2 linked regions of the Struthio camelus genome follow. The protein of the gene in region 1 interacts with the protein of each later gene in a pairwise test. Links are inferred from orthologs where the notes say so. Each region holds a gene or a part of one and is shown on either strand. Other genes may lie near its edges.

Region 1 (7,329 bases):
GATCCGATTCAAGGCCGTGTTGTCTAGAACCACCTACAAAAGAAAACCACCTCCATGAAGAGTCTTGAGAATCACCTGGAGGAAATGCAGCCCTAGCCAAGTGTCTGAGGGAACCAGATCACGCAACCTGGCCCAGGACAGGCCCTGAGCGCCACAGCCCGGTGGAGCCCTCTGCAGCAGGTGGCAGACGCTTGAAACCACAAGCTGACTCATTCCTGGAGCGTAACCGATACTGTCAATGGAAGCTCTTCCCTCCTGTCTTGGCTGCGCTCCCCAGAGCTCTCCCAGGAGAGCGCTGCCTCTGGGCCAGCACCTCGCAGCGACCTTTACCCTCAACAACCCTGGCACAGCTGCTCTTGCCCTGTCAAATGCAGAGATAAGCTGGGAGGGACGAGCAAGCGTCTTGGTTAGGACCTGACAGAAGGCCAAGGTGTAGGCTGAAGATGTTCTGTGGCTGGGGCTTGTGGGTGCTGAAAGTGATAAGCGGATTCACGGTCAAGCGGAAGGCAGCAGCACAGCTATGCAGAAGCAGCACAGCTAGCACCAGCCCCTCACTGCCATGGGAAGAATATGCTGTAGCCACAAAGCAGAAATGCCAAAAAGGACAGCTCAACCAAGGGTTAGCGCAGAGCCCTTGTCCCTGGAACCACCACATCTGCTCAGACCTTCTGGAGGAAAAAAGGAACTGTGCGCTCACTGCTGTGCCTGGGGCTGCCAGGCTGCAGCTTCTCGCCGCAGCACTCGTCCCACGCACCTATGGCACCTGCCCCAGCAAAGGCTGCGTTTTTGAGCTGCTGGGAACAGGTCTGCCATACAGGAATTGGCTGCCCCACGGGCCTGACATGCAGCAGGACTCTTACCACGCAGTCCGCGTTCTGAGTCAGCCTCTTGAGTGTCAGCAGAGAGTTGTACGGCTGCACTACAACATCGCTCATCTCATCCTGGTTTGGGAAAACTGAGTAGGTCTCCACCAGCTTCTTGGGATACCTGGTGAGAAAGCCCAGCCGTCTCAGGGGTTAACATCACCAACACAGGACTCTCTCCTCCCACAAGCTCCCTTTCCAGTCTCTAGGGCTCAGGACAGCAGTGAGTCACTGGTGCTGCATGCCAGACTCAGCTCTCAGGGAGGGAGAGGATTTGTCCCAGCAGTGCCTACCCTAGCAGCACAGGAGCAGGCTGCCAGACGGAGCTACAGCCAAGGCTGAGCCATCCGCGGGCAGATTAAGCAGCTGCTTACAAGCCTTTTCAAGAGGCTGCAAGCTGCAACAGGCAGGGATGGCAGCTCAGAGCCCACAGCTAGAGCCTCCCACTCTCCCCAGAGCAGTTAGGGTGTCAGGAGGCAACTGCCTGATAAGAACGGCTGAAGAAAGACAAAATTTGGACAGCATGAGTCCAGATTCAGAGCCTCCGAAGTCCTCAGGCATATCAGGAGCCATCCCTTTCCAGGCAGCTTGCCAGGGATTGCACAAGACAGTGTTTGGGTGGGGGCAGCGGCCCAGGCTCTGAGTCAGCGCTCTCAAGCTCTGTGCTTTGGCAGGGTGCCCAGTCTGGGCCAGACTCTGCCAGGAGGGAAGGGGATAAAGCTGAATGCTCACCTGTCATTCAGCTTCTCAAGGAGATAGGAGCCCAGCCCGGAGCCTGTACCACCAGCAATGGAGTGGCAAAGCACAAATCCCTGGAAAGAAGCAGAACATAGGCAGCTCAAGGTCCAGCTCAACCCAAAGAGCAGACAGAGCAGAGACAGGCTGAGCCACCACCACCAGCAGAGACTTGCCAACACAGGTGAGAACTACCCCCTGTGACAAGAGCTGCTGAGAGCAAAGAGATGAAGCCTTTGAACGGTACGTGGAGGTTAGCCTCGTCTCCTCCAGACTACAGCGGCAGTCACTCACTAATCACACCACTTCTGCCAGCGGGGGTGCAACCTACTTCTTTGTACATGCCAAGAAGAACAACTGCTGCTCAGGAGCCTCCTGGATTCCTCCCACCCTGAAACAGGCTTCAGAGTAGCTTGGATATCATTTTCAGGTCTCAGTCAGTCAATTAAAGTGAAGATATAGGTTCTTAGCCCTTTCCCTGGGCCCTCCATGCTATTCCCCTCCTTCTAGGATCACGGAGGCCAAACTCCCTCTACCTGACTTCAGCGCAGCTCCCACCCACTGCAGGTCCCACAACCTGCTCTTTGATCTTCTGCCAACCTATTTTAATATCACTTCCCTTGTTGCCATGTGACAGCTTGATACAAACACCAGGGAGCCTTGTTTGGGTTTGTGCAGATGGTAGCCAAGGTACTGCCAGATGCACAAGGCAAAGCAGTCGAAGAACCAGATACCCTTCTCCTCGACATCTCTGAGCTATTGAAGGTATCTCTGGTGCGCCTATCAACCAGCCTGGCCCTGGAATCACCAGTCAGGGCAACTGGACTGAAAATCCCCCGATGGACTTACTTCCAAACTGTCACTCCCATCAGCTTCTCTGTCTATTATGTCAAAAATATCTTCATGGATTTTTTCTCCCTGCAAGATAAAACCAAAACAGGACTTGTTCCTTCCCTGCACAGAAGGGTAAAGAGCCCCTCAAACCTGGAGTGAAGACAAGTCAGATCAGCAACGGGACCCTGCATTAAGGGTGCCACAAAGTGTCAGTCATAAGTCTGTTTGAATAATATGGTATTCTTCAGAGAGCATGTACTGAGCCCGGCATGAGAAAGGCCACAATAAATCCTCATGCCTAAGGAACTGACAAGTGCTTGGGCAGAAGAGCACCAGAGCCTTTTACCTGTGAGAAGCCACTGGCCCAGTTGTTCCCAGCTCCCCCTCCATGCTCAGACAAGTAGATGTTTTCTGGGTTGTAGAGGTTGGCATAAGGGGAGTTCAGGATGGAGTGGATAACTCGGGGCTCCAGGTCCAGAAGTACAGCTCGCGGGATATAGTGCTCATCATCTGCCTTTAACAAGGAACAGTAAGATCATGATGCAGGAGCAACTCAGTGCAGCCCTTTACTGCAAGAGAAACTGCAACTGAGTGCGCCACCCCCTGGCCACAGCAGAGCACAACACAGTGTCATCTCCGACAGAGAAGACGAGGTAGAGAAACTTGTTGTACTGCAGCAGTCTTCACGAGCCCCAGAGCCTATCAGGAATGTTGGGCGTGCAGAGTGGCGAGGGGGCTCTTCCATAAAGGGCTTACAGTCTCAGCGGTTATGTAACGTGGAAACTATAAACGTCTTTCTCAGGCACTACAGTCCTACCTTCAGCAGCCTCCGCAACACATCCATTTCCAGAAACCGGAGCACAGACAAGAGCCCTGACCGACGCTGCCTAGCAGGAGAGCTCAGCTGAGCCTGCCACTCACATAACCGGACCCAGGGTCAGAGTCAGCCCACGGGGCTGCAGGAGGGAGCCGAAGCTGTCGGGAACGACCCTGGCGGCCCTCAGGCGCGGACGAGCCGGGTGAGGAAGAGAGGAGCAGGCGCGGCGCGGCGCGTCCCAAAGCCGGCTCGGCCAGCCGAAGGGCGGCCGGCGGCCGGGTCGGAGCTGCGTGCGGCACGCCGAGGGCGCAGGCCGCAGCCGGGGCAGGGCAGCGCGGGCCCGCGGTACCTGGTAGAAGAAGACGTCCTTGCGGTCGGTGCCCTCGGTGGCGAACTCCTCCACGATGCCCTCGGGGCTGATGCCGTGCTCGGCGCAGAGCTGCTTCCAGAACTCGAAGCCGACTGCGGGCAGGGGCGCTGCCGTCAGGAGCGCCGGGCCGGGTCGGACCCGAACCGGGGCGCAGGGGCCGCGGCCGGGCCGGGCCGAGACCCCGGACCGGGGCCCCGGGCATCCCCCCGCGGTGGCCCCGCCCCCGCCCCTTCTCCAGGCCCCGCCCTCTTCTCCAGGCCCCGCCCCCTTCTCCAGGCCCCGCCCCCTTCTCCACAGCCTCCCGCCCGGCCCGGCCCGGCCCGGCCGCCCGCTCACTCTGGTTGCCGCACTGGCCCAGCTGCAGCGTGATGATCTCCCGCGGCATCGCGGCCCTCGTCCCGCGCTGCCCCGCGCCTCCCGCCGCCGCTCCGCGCCGCTCCCAGCCGCCGTCTCCCGCCCGGCGCCAAGCGGCACTGGGCATGCGCGCAGTGCACTTCCGGGAGACCGCCGCTCGCGCCCCCCCCGCCCCTCGCGGCGCCCCGGCAACGCGCGTGCGCACTGGCCACCGAGGGGGCGGTGGCGCCTGCGCCGCCATGGCGGCGCCCGCTGCGCCCCGACTTCCGGCTCTGGGGGCCGCCATGTCGCCGGCGAGCCGTGCGCTTGCGCGCTTGCGCGCGGCGGATGTTGACGGCGTGAGGGAGCCATGGCGGCGGCGCGGCCCGGCGGCCCCGGCGAGCGGCAGCGGCGGGTGGAGGCGCTGAGCGCGGCGCTGCGCGGCCGCCTGGGGCCCTACGAGCCGCTGCTGAGCGCGGCGCAGGCCGCGCTGGTGTGGGAGCGGCCGGGCCGCAGCGCGCTGTGCTGGGCGGCGGCGCACGGCCTCTTCGGGTGAGCGGCGGCGGCGGCCGGGCCCTGGGTCCGTCCCCCCGGTCCGTCCCGCCGCGGGCCCCTCCGCCCGCCGCCGCCGGCGGGCTAGCTTTGGGGCTGGTCTGCGGGACTGCCTCTGCGCGTGTCGTACGCGGCCGCCCCGGGACCGATCCCTTCGTTTCTTCCCCCTAGGTTTTTTGCTCTCACTTCCCTGCGGCTGGTGTTCCTGGCTGCCCTCGCCCTCATGGTGCTGGTTTGCCTGGATCAGTGGAAGAACAAAATCTGGCCTGAAATTGGAGGTAAGCTGCAGCGTCTGAGCGGGTCCCGGCAGAGCAAGCGCTCTTGTTGGCTCTGGAAGTACGCGCTCTGCATCGCTTGGCGTTACAGGGTTAGGTTGGTTGTTTGTTTACTTTGTGAATCTAGAAGCAAGCAAAAAGACTTGCTGTTTTGTGCCGCTTGTTCTTCCTGGAGTTGCTTTGAAAAGGCCCGACCTATGTAAAAGTAAGACGAGCGAGTGGCATTTGTCTCGTAAGCATGGGAATTCCCTCTTGCGCTTCAATTGCTAGAAAGTTGAGATCCTTTAAAACGTTACTGGGGGCCTCAGTGCTTGTAATGCTTTTGTTTATGGGATGTCATCGCAGGCTCTTGTTTGCTTGCCAGGTGTGATTTTAGGGTGTGTTGAAATATTGGCCAGTTTGAACTTTTGCCATCTTTGCTTGTCACCTCTGTCTGATCTTATGCGTTAAAGATAAGATATCCTTGAGTTACAAGGGAATTACCTGTACAGCCTTAAGCTGATGTTGCATAGAGTATTCTGCTAATAGAAAAACTTTGTAATATTAATAATTCACTAAAGTGATAGCATGCAGGTATGAAATATCTGATGCATGTGAACTAGTCCACGTTTTGAAGAAGAGGTTTGTCTTCCAAGCATTTAGTACGTTTGAGGCATATGCGGACTAGGCCTGCCCTTTCTCCTCTGGATCTGTAATAATCCAGCTTGGGTGTTTTAGGATAAAGATGGATCCCAGCCTTGCCTACTGAGTAGAGATTTTTTTTAAAGGAGAAGCATCTGAAAGGCTGCTAATTAAGCTAAACTTTTAGTAAACAAGCAATCCTATCTATCATTTATAATAATAACATAATCATGAATAAGAGTGTTTTTAGCAGTTCTGGATTTTATTTGCTTTGCTTGGATGGGTGGGTTTCGAAGCAGTATGTATGGTCTGCATGCTCCCAGGGTTGGTTCCTTAACTAACTAGCGAGTACAGCTGCCAGCTTTCATGCTTCAGCTTGTGTTCTCCGTAGTTCTTGGGAAGACATTAAAGCTCTACTCAGTTTCTAGCACCAGCTTTTTTCTGACTATATAACTGAAGTGTTCTTACTTACAGAGAAGTGGGGAGAGTTCTCTCTCCAACTCCCTCACAACCTAGATTTAATTTGGTTGGATAACTGATACATCCTTGAGTCACTTTTCAAATACCAATCTGGGTGACAAAGTATCAAAAAACTTTCTGATGCCTCTGAATAAACAGGCTTTCTTCCTTCACCATCTGGGGGTTGGGGGGGGGGGTGAAAGCAATATATATATATTTTTTGCTAATACCTGTTGCTGTAGCCAGAGCAGATGCTGTCCAGCAAATAGTGAAGAGCAACAAGGAGACTGTCTTGCAGTCTTACACTGTTGTATGTGCTAGTTCAGAATGTGCTTCAGAGTGATGTTTCTCTGGTTCTTAATTACAGTTAATATTTTTTTTTAGGCATTCCCCAACTCATTAAAGCTTTAGTTATATCCCAAGAGCTAAGCATTCATGCAGCAGAATTCCTTGCAACTAATTTAGTGTCTGTTCTTAATGTTTTAGTGGCAAGACCTGATGAATTAGACAATGAGAGGTAGGAAACTAATTGAATCCTCTGCTGTTTGGTACTTTGCTGTGATAAAATACAACTATTACCTGCATATGTTTGTAATGTTGGCTTCTTTGACAGGGGAAGGAAGGGGGAGAAGGGAGCTGGTTAGTGGAGGGAGGATGAAGCCCTGGATTCTTTCAAACCATTGTGTCAAATTTTTGACTTGCCCAAGCCATAATACTTAACCTCTGCCTTGATACTGGCCTATGATAATGCTTGCTTGAGTGTTGTAAAACTTCCCCTGGCAGTTCCCCTCACACCCCTTAAATTAGAGGTGCTGCCTTAAAAACAATTCCTTCTGTATGGGTCTCTTTTTTGAGGCGGGGGAGAATACTCAAGTCAGCCTTCTGAGACTAGATATGGGATGTTTAACAGGCAGAAGTTGCTGCTGCATAGTTATGATCTGAGTGCAGCATTAATAAGGGGTTGAGAAGTGCTGGGGTACTGCATTACTAATAACACCTTCCTCTCTCTGGACACACCTTTCTGCCTGCTTCTGCTGCTGAGCCACACTGGATGCTCAGATTCCTGGTTAAATCACTTCATCTGTTGCCAGATGACTTTTTTTTTTTTTTTGCGAGAAGCCCAAGTACAAAAGGAATTGCTCTTGCTAAGCTTCAGTTCCTTGTGACTAGCAGTTAAGAAGCGCTAATAGAACTTGCCAAACCTAATGCCTTCAAAAGTGGCTGAATGTATAAGGTGTGGTACAAAGCTGCTTGGAAACCTCATGCTGAATACTTGGCAGTTGCACTTGACTGAAGAAATGCAGAGAAAGCAAATGAATGCATTTGATTTGCTTCTCTATCCTTTTGCCTTTAGCTAAACTGACAGAAAAATGCCACTTGATTTTTTTTTGTTGTTTTTTTGTTTTTGTTTTTGTTAGCTACTGGCAAAGTTTTCTTGATAATGAGCTGAAGCTGACTGCTTTTGGAACT
Region 2 (7,865 bases), on another chromosome or scaffold:
TTGAGTAGCACTTAAAAACACATTCTCCTCTGGTTACCAGTTAACCAACAGTGAAGATTTTTAACATTTGTCAATTTAAAATTAATAAGTAATGAAAGAAAAATATATTTTAAGTACCATTTAAAACTCTCACTGTCCCTAAAAGGCATAAAAATGACACTCCATACTTTGGACAAATACAAAAGTGAGCTGGACATTCGCTTAATTTTTAAGTTGAAAAGCAGAAAAAGCAAGATCCCGATCCTGCTTAAGATAGCTAGTAAACAAAAAGCAAACTCTTTCCTCGTTGTTCTCAGCACATCATTCTCTAGAAAGTGGAAAATCGTGCAACAGGAACATGTTTAAAGATGCCAGTCTTCTGAACACTGTTCCCTTGAACTGCTTACTTGTATTTAATTTTGATCATGCTAGTTTATGTGCTTTAGGGATAAGACCACGTTAATGCCTTTCTCACGGAACTTGACAGTAGTCTAACCTATTGTTTGGACTTCTTGTACTTGAAGTGATATATTTCATGTACTTTGTCTGTAAATTACATGTGATAGTGTTTGTAAATCAACCGCACGTAATCAACCAAATGTCATGGTAAATACGACTGTCTGACTGTTACAAATGTTCCTTAATACTATCTTGCCCTGAATGACGGGAAAGGTTTTTCTGTTGTTCTTGTGCCCCTGAGAAGTGTATTTGTTACAGGACTGTGAATCGGGAATGCAAACCTGTAAAATACATGTTCTGTTTTAGTCTTCGTTTTACTTACCTATTTTGTTTTGGGGTTTGTTTGGGTTTTTTTTTTTTTTTTGACACGAAGTTGGAGGTTTTCACAGAAATGGAGAAAAGAAATAAGTCTTCAAGTCTCCAAGGTTATATGAATTAGACTGAACAAAATATTTTTCCTAAAGTATCTTGCAGGTGGTCCTTGCTCCCTGCACTGCTAACTCCTAACTAGTTTTTCTGGTGGCTTCTGTGAAATCACTTGTGTAATGTCCTCTATAGCATTCAGCCCCTGGACCCCAAGCTCTGAGCGCTGCAGTGTGCTATGAACATAAATGTCCTCCTTAAAACATCTGTCCCTAGCAAGTTAATGAAGCCTGTGAAGGCTTGCTGTGGCGTAGTGCTTGGCTGAGAGAGGCAGGGTGCTGGATGTCGTGGGAAATTTTTGAATCACACCTTATAAATTGGGCATTGTGCTCTATGGAAATGCAGTAGTATTAGCCCAGGAATATTTGTTGGTGTTTCACAGCCATAAGTGTTCCTTAGGCCCTGTATGCAGTCTACCTGCGTCACGAGGAGGAGGTGGCAGAACTATTAGCACAGGAGGAAGTAGTACTTGTAACGCAGCACTACGTGAAACTGAAGCTGGCCACTGCTTAAAGACATCTTTAGATACTTAAAATAGAGTAGTATTTGTAAAAGTAATGCACACAGAGAGTCCTTTCTTTTTTCAGAAAGGTGCCATATGATTTGAAGTGGCTCATAGTAACATGGTACTTTTTAGGAGTCAGATCCAGTTAAGAAATATGTATTAATGAGTTCTTTTTTCCTGGTGTCTGGTCTGTAGTTCAGGTGGTTAGTATACCTCTTCAGCATCACATAAGCCTTTTTAGACTGGCTGTGTGTTATTGCTCTGGCCTGCTATTGTTTATTATTGTATTATGGTGATGATTACATTTCCGAAGGAGGATTCTTCAGGAAAAAAGTTTTAATGTAGAAGTATATAAATAAAGGAATGTGTGAGAGAGCTTTATTAAACATACAGGTATTCTCATGCTAGACACAGCAAAGCAATGCTTAGAAGAATTTTGAGAGCTGCAAACAATTTAACAGCAAGGCTAATAGTCTGCTTTTTGCTTCTTGGAGTTCCTGTTTTCTGTGGTACCTGTTTGTTCTTGTGAACCACTGTGCTATTTTCGTCTTTTGACTATATCCATCTTTAGCCTCTGTAACTCATATTTTCTCTACTCTGTCTGTGCTTCTGTATCTACAGAGATGAGAGTGTAGGTAGGGTTAAGGCAAAGACTATTTTGTAACCCTAAGTACAAAGGATCACCGTTGTCAAGTGCTAATAAAGGCAATCAGCTTGATTAAGGACATGCTCTGAAAATATATGCTACGATAGCACACAGAACAGTATGAAGGCACTTACAAACTTGGGTCTTAAATGGTTATTGTGTGTCAAAAAAATCAAGGTACTATTTTTCTCAGTTAGTCCACACATATTGAATGATCAGCCTTTAACAACAACAACAAAAATAGGTATAGAATGCCTCATGTACGCTTCAAGTGGTGTGTCGCTGGAGATCTCAGGATGGATACTATTGTCCAGTAAATATGGGATGCATCAGAACAACGTTACAATGTCAAACTTTGCTCTTGTTATTAAAAATATTGCATTGACTTTCACCATGGTGTTAACTATGAAACCAGTCACTTTTAGTCTGCTTTTCAGTAGGTAACAGTAAACTATAATGGAACCCTGGAGATATTGACGGTTACATTACATACTTTGGTTTACTTCTTTTTCAAGAGGCATGAGCAGAAATAATGGAAAGTGCAAATTAAGCAAAATAGCTTTATTTCGGTGCAACTACATGCATTGGGCAGCACTGAGAAGTGTTTCTCCCCCCAAGTCTGCAGCTCACACTGGCAGATTTTTGCAAAAGTGTTTAAACATATCTACTTACTGGGACTGGGCACCTTACCTGGCATCTTGAATGCCGGATTGACAGATAACTTTCAAAGTACAAAGGCAGACCGGTGACCCTCTGTCTCTCGTGGAAGATTCTCCGGGGAGCCGGTTTAGGAATTTTCTCAGGCTCTTCCATAATGCTTCCCAGGGACCTCTGGATATCAGATGTTTTTTTCCCTCTTTCCTGCTCTTGCCTGCCTTGCATCAGCCTCAGCTGGAGAAGAAACTCACCTCGGTGAGAGGGGAAAAAACCCAACAGTTTAAAGAGGAAGTCTCTGTACTTACTTTTAGGTCAGTACATGCCACAGACTCTTTACTCAACATATAATCACAGGAGGAACCAGGCTGAATGGATTCAAAGGATCTTTTCTAGCAAAACATCTATGAGCTCGTTCCTTGGTTTGCTCAAAGAGGAAGAGCCAAATGATGAACCTTCTGGTACAAAACTGCATCACTACTACAGCTGGTTTCACTCAGAGATAATGGCAGAAAAGCCTCCTTACTATAACTTAAAAGTATTGGACTTGGGTCCAACAAGGGTTACATGGGCTATCTACCAGCTAGGGAGACTGTTTGTACTCTTAGCTGCTTCCACAGTACTATTGAAAGTTTTCTGTGTGAATATGTGTTTTAACATTACGACTACCAGATTATGACTGTTTTAATTGAAATTTCTTTAGGAAATGGGACATCTAGTAGGATTACAGAACCCCAACAGTAATATCAGAAATAAGCCTACCTACCACTGTTTATTACTGACAGCCAAATTTCTAGTGTGCATGCAGGATAGAAAGAGCTAATATACCAAAGCCAAATAAAAAATTGTGAAGGGAAATTGTAGTTCAAGAGTGAAATGTTGGTCCTTCTGAAATGAGGGGTGAAATTTCCATTGACTTCACAGAACCGTTATGTTTTGCTTCATTTCTGGCGTTTCCTAAAGCGTTCAGAAAGAATAGCAATGACAGGACTTGGTATTTTGGTGCTTTTTGGTGTGAGAGATAAAGTGAATGTGAAAAATTTCTGTGGATCATTTGTTGTTGAACATCTTCCTGCTCTTTTTTTTGTTTTTCAGCAGCATGCACCTGTAAGATGAGTACATAATTGACCTGTAAGGCGATCTGTGATGGATCATATAGCTGCTAGCCAGCCCTAGCAGAAAAGAGAGGTACAATTGTATAGGCGAAAGTGAATTCTCCATGTCATCTCCATGTCATCTCTAAATACTGCTGTGGACAGATCCATAGTCTCAGCTTTTGTTTACATTTCAGATTGCAGAAGTTGATGTGCGTTCTTTTTTAATTTAATTTAAATGGCAGACTCTGACTTCACCATTGAATGTTGCAGAAGAGCTTATGAAGACAGGTACCTGCACTGTTGCATGGCAAGACAGAAAATGACTATGCAGGCTGGAGCTGATGAACTCGGTCCTGTGCGGTGCGCTCTAAAAATGTGTCTTTTTAAGATATGTTTTGGGCTGGCTTTTGTAGCAGCGTATCTCCTCAAACGGTTCTTTCAGCAGTAGCTCCCGGCTGAGTTCAATAACGCTTAAAAAAAAGTCAAAATCTCGTGGTGATTGTAGGTGTTTTGCAGCGTTTATTAGAAACCTGAGTATTTGAACTTTGCTGAAATTTATACAGGAAGGAAAAAAATAATGCAGTGACCCGCCAGGAGACCTTGCCTAGGGAGGGATGGGGATGAATATTCGAGAATGAGTATCATGACAGATTGAGCAGATCCTCCGAGTAACCTTGCTACATTCTGCGCTTTAAAGACAGCGCAATTAGTAATGGCTCAAGGGGGAAAGAGGGGAATAAAGGCAACGGCCGCGCGAGAGAAAGACCCCATTACCCCTGAGGCGGGGGGAAGCCTGCGGCGCAACCTTCTGCGCACGCGCGGCAACGGCTGGAGGAGGCGGGTATGGCGCGCGCGCAAAGATACCGCCCTCTCCGGCGCGCGGCCCCCCGCTGACCAATGGGGCGGGGGGAAGGGGGCGCTGCCGCTGCTCTGCGCGCGCGCGCGCGGGCGCGCAGTGGGAAAGCCCCCGAGGTTTGAAAGTCGTGAGGGGCGAACGGGTCGTGAGGCGAAAGTCGTGAGGCGAGCGGGTGGGCGAACGGCCGGAGGGGAGGGAGGGGGAGAGAGAGGCGGGCGCGGGGTGACGGCTTGGCCGACCCCCGCGCCGTAGGGCCGGGAGTCCTCGTCTTTGTCGTGGCAGCGGCGGCCCGGGATGGCGGAGGCCTTGGTGAGAGAGCGCGAGCCCGGGGGCGCGGGAAGGGGCGGTTGTGCGGCGCGAGCCCCGCGAGCGGCTGTTACCCTCCCCTTCCCCTGCCCCTCTCTCCTCACTGCACTCCTGACAGCCGGGCGGCTCCCGGCGCGGGCTTCCTGGGCCGGCCCGAGGCCTGCCCGAGCCCTCTGCGGTGCTTTCCGGCCGTGCAGTCTCGGCTCAACCCTTGGGTCCCTGGGGCTGCTTTGGGCCTCGCTCCTGGGGAGACCGCGGCCGGTGTTAGTGCTCTGCCCTCCCTGACGGGCACCGCACCAACTGGCTCGGCCCCAGGTGCTGGCACAAGCAGTTCTGTGCTGAGAGCTTGTCTTCTGAGAGCCCTGTTTTCTTTAGGCTGCCTGTAACTGCTCCTACTGCTTGTTTCTGAAAACCTTCCTTTTAGGGGGTAGCATGCAAAGAATCAATAATTCTTGCCTAGCTATATTAGAGAGGTACCCATCTTCCTCCTGCAGACCACCATCAGATATATATATGCGGTGGGTAAAATTTTAAAGGCTCTTTATGTGCAGTGGAGTATTAACATAATCACCAATAAACTTAAAAGCCCTTTTAGCTCCGACACAGGAATGTTTCATTTTTTACGTGAAAGGTTGCTTGCTTGAAGAGCTTCAAGCCTAAGCGACTGGCTCACTGTAGAGTACAGTTTCCGTACTTGTTGTGAAGTGATGACATTTTGTGTTATAAGCCATTCAATTCACTGAGTGATATGGGATTTAATCCTACCGTTTTAAGGTTGAAAATCTGCAGTGGAATGAAATTCTTTTTTTGGAATAAAATGAGATTTTTGGTCATTTTTATTAGCAGAGGTAGTATCTGCAGAAATATGTGAAAGAAATCCTAGGTGAAGCCATCACTTTCTATTCGGAAAAGTATGAAATGGTTTCAGTATGGCAAAATTATTAGGAAGAGCATGCTGAATTCTATTGCATTAGGACTGAATGATCTTCATACTGCACATGCACTTATTCCAGCAGCAGATTGGAAGAAGTCATAACTGTCAATTAAAGTTGAGTTCAGCAAGGTGGTAATTTTATCATGGAATGGCTATTATGCTGTAACTGCCTGTCGTGGTCTTGCCTGTGAAAAATACAGGGTAAGAATCTCTATGTGAGCAGTTTCCACAGATCAGTTAGATGGGCTGTAAGGTTACGACCTAGCGTGCTTTGTGGTCGTTGATTCCTTTTTGTTGTTAAGATGAGTATTTCTATAATGGCAATAGAAAATTTAACTAATCCCTTAGATTCTGTAATATTTTTGTCATGTAAGTCTTGCAATTAATTTCAATGCAACACATGCTTGATGCTTCTTAAGGAAAGTTGAATCCCTGGCAGTTGTTAAAGGGGTGCTGAGCACATCTGTCAGAACTGCAGGGTTCTCAGAATAATAGGGCTGCAGTAACTGCTACTAGTTTATGATGAATCAAGAATCATCAAGATTTGTTGGCAACGTGCTTGTTAAAAACTGATTCTTCTTTCTTAACAGAACCTTTTCAAAAAAGACTACAGAACAAGATTCTGCCATGGAGGAGGGTAATTTACATTTATACTTAAAATTCCAGTTTTAGACAGTATAGTTTGGAAAAGTTACCCTGATTTATTTCTGTGAACTTAATGTCAAAATTACAGGAGCGTATCTTTTAACATTGGTTATGTAGCGGTTCCCAACTTGTATTTCTTAGCAGTGCAAAGCAAATTGTGCTCAGGGAGAGAATACAGTGTCTTACTGAAGCTTGGAGTTTAGCACTTTGTATGTCCTTTTGATCAATGGTTGGAAAAATTAGTGTTTAATATGCTTCTGATGCTCTCTTACCTCAGTGCATGCATTCCTCCTAGACCTCGTGGGTGCAAAGGTGTTACTACTGTTTCATTTGCCGCAAAGAGCGGAGAACAGATGGCAGCAATTCTGCAACAGAGAATATTGTCCACCTCAATAGCCAGTATGACATCTAGTGATAGGTTGTCCACAGGATAGAGTCCTTTATTTACACAATTTAAGTAATTTACATTAAAAAAATACATAGATGTGTGTATGTGTATATATTTAATATAAATTCAATGTACTTATGTATGTGTGTGTATATATATATTTTTTACTTTCTATCCTTCCCAGGCTCTTTCCTTTTTCATTGACTGCTTTTCCTTTGCATTCCTCTATTAAAGTGGCAGACTATGGTGCAGAGATACTGAGGCTACCTCTAGCTAGGCTAGTTGAGTACTGAAACAGTAGTCCTTGCAAACGTTTTTCCTCTGAGGTTGTAGAGAAATGAAGCACCTGCAGAGTTCGAACTTGTGTTGTTTGGCCCTTTCTGGTAAATTAGCTTGAGTATTGTATGTTGAGTATGTTGAGTACTGAAGAGTAGCTTGAGTATTTGTTGTGCTGTAGTCTTTCCTAAAGGAATTTCAGAAGTTAGTGAGCTTTGTGTTACTGGCATCCGTTTCTAGACATGCGTTTCATGAGTTTGCTAAGAAAAAAATCTACAAAATTATCTGTTTTAGAAGACATATAATAATCACGTGGAAGAAGTGTTCTGTAGCTTTTTTGTTGTTATTTTCATCAAAGTGTTTTAGCTAGTGGATCTCTTCTGCCATTTTCAGTTCCCTTAGAGGAGATAAGAAATAGCAACCTAACCATTTGAGCTGGTTTGATACTTGCTTACAGATTTGAAACTTCAAGCCAACTCTTGCTGTTGAAGCTATGGTAGAAGCTTGGAGTAACTGATTGAGTGGTAGTAAGAGAAGACAAGGGTGGCTCTTTGTGTGAGGAGACAGATGTGCTGCCTACAAATTTCCTTTCCATGTGTGCTGAGGTTGGATCATTGTGCAGACAGTATTACATGAGTTTTGTTTTTTTTTTTTTAAAGCCAGAAAGTCTGTTCAGCCCAAAGTTGTGTTACCTGAG

What was found. The genes of interacting proteins can lie anywhere in the genome.
Region 2: the proteins of RETREG3 (region 1) and STAP1 interact in binary tests that used the Homo sapiens proteins (3 or more experiments, as listed by UniProt). The two-hybrid records come from large-scale screens. The link is inferred for Struthio camelus from reciprocal best matches to the Homo sapiens genes RETREG3 and STAP1.

What each region holds. Positions count from the first base shown.
Region 1 is NC_090966.1:7,760,300-7,767,628, reverse strand, and holds the start of RETREG3 (reticulophagy regulator 3), read left to right. Parts: upstream 1-4,322; coding exon 4,323-4,504; intron 4,505-4,675; coding exon 4,676-4,782; intron 4,783-6,345; coding exon 6,346-6,376; intron 6,377-7,329. Other genes in the region: TUBG1 (tubulin gamma-1 chain), read right to left, coding at 1-33, 861-987, 1,596-1,675, 2,448-2,516, 2,779-2,946, 3,599-3,711, 3,956-4,100. UniProt on the Homo sapiens protein: Endoplasmic reticulum (ER)-anchored autophagy regulator which exists in an inactive state under basal conditions but is activated following cellular stress.
Region 2 is NC_090945.1:5,207,521-5,215,385, reverse strand, and holds the start of STAP1 (signal-transducing adaptor protein 1), read right to left. Parts: upstream 3,013-7,865; 5' UTR 2,895-3,012; coding exon 2,703-2,894; intron 1-2,702. Other genes in the region: CENPC (centromere protein C), read left to right, coding at 4,914-4,928, 6,450-6,496. UniProt on the Homo sapiens protein: In BCR signaling, appears to function as a docking protein acting downstream of TEC and participates in a positive feedback loop by increasing the activity of TEC.